2 linked regions of the Arabidopsis thaliana genome follow. The protein of the gene in region 1 interacts with the protein of each later gene in a biochemical or structural test. Each region holds a gene or a part of one and is shown in the gene's direction. Other genes may lie near its edges.

Evidence for each region. The genes of interacting proteins can lie anywhere in the genome.
Region 2: the proteins of GDU1 (region 1) and LOG2 form a complex in vitro, tested with the Arabidopsis thaliana proteins (2 studies listed by BioGRID, with this or other methods).

Annotation. Positions count from the first base shown.
Region 1 is NC_003075.7:15,359,086-15,362,581, forward strand, and holds GDU1 (glutamine dumper 1), read left to right. Parts: upstream 1-1,926; 5' UTR 1,927-2,121; coding exon 2,122-2,598; 3' UTR 2,599-2,989; downstream 2,990-3,496. UniProt on the Arabidopsis thaliana protein: Probable subunit of an amino acid transporter involved in the regulation of the amino acid metabolism. Stimulates amino acid export by activating nonselective amino acid facilitators.
Region 2 is NC_003074.8:2,996,591-3,000,350, reverse strand, and holds the start of LOG2 (RING/U-box superfamily protein), read left to right. Parts: upstream 1-2,095; 5' UTR 2,096-2,515; coding exon 2,516-3,018; intron 3,019-3,199; coding exon 3,200-3,707; coding exon of another isoform or gene 3,708-3,722; exon of another isoform or gene 3,723-3,760. UniProt on the Arabidopsis thaliana protein: Acts as an E3 ubiquitin-protein ligase, or as part of E3 complex, which accepts ubiquitin from specific E2 ubiquitin-conjugating enzymes and then transfers it to substrates (in vitro).

The DNA of each region.
Region 1 (3,496 bases):
ATTTGATGTTTAGGTAGCGTCTAACAATTTTTGAACTTAATTTGTTTAAGCCATTCAGATTTTTGAACGTTTCCATTTATATGTATGAGAGGAGTAGGGACGAATAGTACAAAACGACGAGCGGTGATTGTCCGTGCAGAAAGAAAACGTACCCTCTACTGCTAAAAGGTGCGAAGTGGAAGCTGACGAAACGTGGGACACAATCACACAACAAAACTATACAAATATTATTTTCTCATGTTAATAGTGATTAGTGGAATGATTGCCAATGGACAATGCGGCCTTCTTATCCCTTGTTGTTTTTTATTGTTTTCTTTTTCTTGTAAAAAACTTTGATACTGTTTTAGAATTAAAAAAGAGGTAAAAACTTTTTTTCTTCTAAACGATGCACGAGTTCTTTAATGATGAAGATTGTGAAACTTGCTATACTCATATGAGATGGGACCTGTATTTTTTTTATTTATATATAAAACTATTATTCTCTCACTGACAAGAAATTCCCAATTTTGATTTTGATTTATGTTTTTAAATAACAATATCTTTTTAAAAATATCTCTCTATCTTGCTTTTTTAAAAACACAATTTTTCTGATTGCCTAAAAATAATTACCATAAAAATCAAACATGTCCCGGTCTTGTGGATCCAGTCCCATGATACTCATTTTCTTGCTTTGTTTTATGATTCTATTTTGTTTTCGACCGAAGTTTATGAATTAAAACATGACAAAAATTTATTTGACAAGTAAACGTTACATATTTTTCAAAACTATTACGCCAATGTTCCAAAGCTTCCACGCCGAAATTCTTGAGCAAATAGACAAAACATCAACGATTTTTCTATAGTATCTGTTATTTGAACAAATTGAATTTTTTAAAATGCTAGATTCCTAATTTTCTCTACAAACAAAGCATCAAAGATGAAAGCATAAAAGAAATCAACGTACATTCTTAAGAAGAGGAATCAAATTGTGGCTAAACAGTGGGAAAGTATAATCAAGAATTCAAGATGTGAGATAAAAATAAAATAACAAAAAGCAAAAATTAGGTAAAGAAAAACTAAGGAAATTAAAGGATAACCCAAGTTTTTCTTTTACCGTGGATATTGGATCATTCCACGGTGAAAAAAGAGATTCTAAATTTAACTGATAAACATATATATTAAACAACTGCAATAAAAAAATAAAAAAATTACAGGACTAAAACTAAAGAACTATAGGGAATCGGACATCAAATTACACAGAACCATCTTTACGATTGATGCTTCACCGTACCACATAAACAAAATGAGATCTTATATAAACTTATGATCTTCTTATCCATAGCTCTTAATAAGAAGTGAAAAATAAAAAAATGGAATCACCGCATAGTCTTGGCTAGAGGCAAGAAAAGAAGAAAGATAGACTAATTAATGAGTATATATGTCAAGTCAAAGCACCAGAGCCAAATGAAATTTGGAAATAATAATGAAGAAAAACAAAATGAAATTGTTGGCACTTTAACCCACAATCTCACTCACTTTCAAATAATCTTTGTTCGCTATTATCATCGTGAAAACATTGTCATATTCCACTACACCCCAATCTAAACTGCTCTTTCACTATGCCCTGATTCTGATTAGCTACAAACATTTTTTTTGCGTGGTATATGGATAATACATCGATTTCAAAAAATATGCCTCTATCTGTACGGACTATGTATATCTCAACTCTCAAATCACTGTATTTTATTATTTTCAAGAATGAAAAATAAAAGTGTTAGCTGTCTAGTTCTGTTGATATATTGAATGAAATTTAACATTTTCACTTGTCCAGCTGTAACTTCTTAGTTCTTACAGTATAAATACGTTATTTTCTTTAATAAAAGAGAGATACGTTGATGAGTTCACTATGGTTAAGAAATAAAGAGTTGGTTCCACTAAATTCCATCAATTAAATATGATCGTCACTTTCTTTGTCCCCAAGTTGCATATACCTATAAATACATCTCTTTACCTTCTCCTCTGTTTCCTACTCATCTTTCCTTTTTCCACATCAAGTTAGAAAAACAAAAGTAGAAGAAATTATCTCCAAAACACACAAGTCCAGAGAGAAACAAAAAGAGATTACACACAACAACAACAAAAATGAGACCATTGAGCGTACAATCGAAGTTTGAAGATGTGGCAACGTCAACCTCCGTTAATCACCACGGAGTGACGCCGCAATCACCGTGGCACTCGCCGGTTCCTTACCTCTTCGGCGGTTTAGCGGCGATGCTAGGACTAATCGCCTTTGCTCTTCTCATCCTCGCTTGCTCTTACTGGCGCCTGTCTTCCTCCGGCGAAGAAGATGGTCAAAACGTAGATGAAGAGAAAGAGAGCCGGTCTGGAGATAAGGCGGCGAACGGAGCTTACGAGGAGAAGTTTCTTGTCATAATGGCCGGAGAAGATTTGCCGAGGTATCTGGCGACACCGGCGATGAAAAAGTGTACGTGTGGTGGTCACGAGGGTAAAATGGTGATTTCTCAGGAGGAAAGTGTTGCCAAAGAGGAAGAGAAGATGAGAGAAGGCGAAGAAGAGAAAGTGAAAGATACCGGCGAGACAACTACTACAAGTCACTAAACTTTTCTTTTTCTAAATTAACGTCTTTTTGAGAGTTTTCTGGAGAATTGTCCTCGTCATGATTCCTAGAAATGTAAATTTTACTAGAGAGCAAAATTTTGGGGTTTTTACTTGTTCTGTAGTGTTTACCGTTTGATATATTAAATCGTATTATCCTAAATTTTGTAGTTTGAGGAAATATTTAGTCACTTCACCCCAAAAAGTCTAGTATATTTGAAACTGCGGTTTCTTACGTGTACATGTGTGTACATCCATATATTTAGGATTCGATTGTTCCAACCAATTCGTTTTGATTATATAACTTTCCACATTTTTGAGTGGAAATACGTGCTAATTCAGAAATTTCATATGGTGGTTAGGTTGATTACTCACGGTCACAAAAATTGTACTTTTTTAAAAACCTTGCATGTACTTCAAACTGTTGGCTGTCAGAACAGAGAAAGTGCTTCAATCTGTTGACAGCAGAGCTGTCTGATCCATATGCCAATTTCACTTTCTTTCCTCTTTTAATTCAGCAAGATTTATTTTCCTCACTCGAAGAGTTTTATGAGGTGTAATCATTTAGTGTTTTTACAAGCAGTTTAAGAAGAAAATTATCCGAAACACACGTTGACTACATATATATTTTTTAATCTCATTCGAATATTGTCATGAAAATACATCTAAAAGTTAGATTTATGAACAAAAACATACATCGCCGACAGTTTTATAATCCTAAAAATCATTATAACATAATGTTACTATTAGGATACAAGAAAAATAGACTAGTTCCACATGATTTTTGTTTATCTATATCGACCGTTCTCCAAGACTTTTAAGCCTAAATTTTAGGTTTACTACTACAAAATCTTTCAAGACTGATTATTACTTAAGATCTTTTAAAATACTTTTCGACTTG
Region 2 (3,760 bases), on another chromosome or scaffold:
TATTAAAGGAAACAAATATGAAAATAACCTACTAGTAATTCTTTTGACAATATAGAGCTTTTCTTAGTCATAAAACAGCTTTTGTTTCAAAATTGGAAACGATCTCTCTTTTTGGGATCTTACACAAAGTACACATGTACGAAATTCCTCATTGATACATCATTCCTCATTACGAACCACACAATTAGATCTAACATATATATATTTGTTCCACTCAAATACAAATCTTGTTAGGGTAACATCACCTCTGAGGAAACGACAAAATGAAGTTAATGAAAGTATTTGGCTTTAGATGGATTCGTAGATAGTACGTGACACGTTGCTGATATGCGGACTTCAGATAAATTATCGGCTAGTATCATAAAGATAATGTAAGGGTCTAAGCATACTCACTAATTAACGAAATATCTTCTTAGAAACACCTGAGCTCGATCTATTTCAATCATAGTGACTCAAACCTAAGAAAATCTTTGACATATGTATATTACATTAGTGTTCCAAGAAGATGCTACGTTCGACGTCATATTTGTTATCCTGTAAATTATAACAAAGATGCATCAACATTCAACAGAGAACAAAGTTTAGTTTTTATATATATATATATGTCACGATCATAGGTCTACATAACTATAAATTGATACAATTGATTTTACAGATTTTACACAACATATGTATCCAACTTGATGATATATCCGGTCTGCCGTTTCCCACTATATATAGAGTATTTTATAATTGATTCCCATTTATTTTTCTTAGTTTATATATGTTCGTCTTTTGGAATTGCTTAATGAAAGTGTGTGCGAGTGGTTAGGTATGCGATTCTATTATGTCTCTTTATTTATTTTTGATTTCGAATCGCACCACTACCTTCGTATGGGAATGTTTCAATATGATATCTATCTGTATATGATCACGAATATAATTTGATTTTGATCAAAATCAACATGTAATATAATTTCACGTAATATCAAACATCCAATAGTTACAGTTTAATCTGGCTACTGAATATATATATATATATATATATATATCTTCCTTTGAAAGAATGTTTATATATTTTTATTCTTTGTGACGTTTTTTTTAGCTAATGGTGATCTCTTGACTCTAAATTCATACAAATTTTTTAAAAAATTAGCTTAGGGTTTTGAAAATATAAAAACTCTTTTAGGGCTTATGTTTTCTTTTTGGTCAACGGAGCTTATGCTTTTGTAGAAACACTAATTTTTAAGACATTAAAGTATACATCAGTTTTGTTTTGTGTTTTGGGTTAAACTTATACACAATTATTCAAAGACGACAAAACAAGTTTAAATATGAATTCCAAAATACCAGTTCATCTTTTCGGACTACTGTATATAAGAATATTATGTTGGCAAAAAGTAGGTTTATTATAGGTTAAAAATAAAAATAAAGTATAGCCTACTTTGTTAGGAATACATATTAAACTTCACACTAATTACTAGTAGATATTTAGGCAATATAAGTCTAGAAGCGGAAAGTAGACAATGCCTATTGCCTAGTATACATTTCGGACAGCACAAGTGACTTTTAACTCTTTAATCACACAGAAGACAGAACTATGCAATGATCGACAACTTCTTCACTCTGTAAAATATTTGGATTTCTCAATTAATGGTTTCTGAAAATAACATCATCTTTTTAAAGCATGAACAAATTAATCCTAATGTAGACCTAAATAAAAATCTTAAGACCATCTTTATCAGTAAAAACAAGGAAAGATTCTAAAAAAAAATAAAAATAATATTTTAATTAAAACAGATACATTAATTATTATTTAATAATTGAATTAATAGTATGATGACACTTGTCCAAATTGGATGAGAATAGTTTCTCAAAGTTTCTCGGAAGAGAAATTCAACTCTCCTTCTCTTCTACTTTTTTTTCCTTCTATCATACTTTTTCTTCTTTAATTATTTTTTTTTTTTATTGGGTATCTTATTGAGATACTTCAAATGGAGATGCTCTAATAATTAATGGGAATGTGTTTCTAATTAAAAAGATAACATCTTTCTTTCTATATTTTTGTCGTCATATAACACACCTCAACTCTTTTAAGTACTCGTGTTGAATTTTGTTTTTTGAAAAGACAAAACTCCTTATAATCAACGTAATTATTAATAACAAGGAGAAAAAAAGTCCAAAGAAAAAAAAAAGAAAGCTTTTTGGGAACATAAACACCATCGAAGGAGGGTGGGAGGTGTTTTATGTTCATGGGTGGAGCTTCTTGGCCAACCTGACCCCATTCATCATATCATTACCCACTTTCTTCTCCTAAATTATTCTCTCTTATCTCTCTCTCTCTCTTTTTATTTTCTTTCTTTCTTAATTCATCTAAACTCTCTCTGCTTTTGCTTTTCGTAATTCCTTACATTTCACTCAATATTAATCCCCAGAATCTCCGATCCACCCACAAATTTAGCAATTTTCTGAGATTTGATCATTTGGGTCACCAAAAAATCTTGTCTTTTTGATCTGGGTTTAACGCCAATAACATATGGGAAACATTAGCAGCAGCGGTGGTGAAGGTAGACGCCGTCGACGGCGAAACCATACGGCGGCTCCACCACCACCTCCTCCTCCTCCTTCTTCTTCTCTTCCTCCACCACCTCTACCTACAGAAATCCAAGCTAATCCCATCGTTTTCGCTGCCGTTACTCCCTATCCTAATCCTAATCCTAATCCGGTTTACCAGTACCCTGCTTCTTACTACCACCATCCTCCCCCGGGAGCCATGCCTCTTCCGCCGTACGACCACCACCTCCAACATCATCCACCGCATCCTTACCACAACCACTCTTGGGCTCCCGTGGCGATGGCCAGATACCCTTATGCTGGTCACATGATGGCTCAACCGACTCCTTACGTTGAACACCAGAAAGCCGTCACGATTCGTAACGACGTTAATCTCAAGAAGGAGTCTCTTAGGCTTGAACCCGACCCGGATAATCCGGGTCGCTTTCTCGTCTCCTTTACGTTTGATGCAACCGTCTCCGGAAGGTAGATTTCACTTTCTCCCTTTCGTTGATTTCGTGATCCATTTGAGCAGATAACACGTGAATTTTGTTGTGTTCTTCCTCGTGACTATGTAATTTGGATCTTCTTATTGCAATTTGATCAAATCTTCTTCATGTGTAATTGAATTAAGCTTATGTTATTATGTTGGACTTGTGAAAAATAGGATTAGTGTCATTTTCTTTGCTAAAGAATCCGAAGATTGCAAACTCACAGCGACAAAGGAAGATATACTGCCACCTATCACTCTAGATTTCGAGAAAGGACTTGGTCAGAAGTTTAAACAATCATCTGGTTCTGGTATAGACTTTTCGGTCTTTGAGGACGTTGAGCTGTTCAAAGCGGCCGCAGACACAGAGATCTATCCATTAGCGGTTAAGGCAGAAGCAGCTCCCTCAGGTGGTGAGAATGAAGAAGAAGAAAGGTCGGGGTCGAAGAATGCGCAGATTACTCAAGCGGTTTATGAGAAGGATAAAGGAGAGATTAAGATTAGAGTGGTGAAGCAGATACTATGGGTTAATGGAACGAGATATGAGTTGCAGGAGATTTATGGGATTGGGAATACAGTTGAGGGGGATGATGATTCAGCTGATGATGCTAATGATCCTGGTAAAGAATGTGTTATATGTTTGTCTGAACCACGAGACACCACTGTTCTTCCATGTCGACATATGGTAAGTGAAAGCTGATGATTTACTACTATTATGTGATGATGGACATATATATA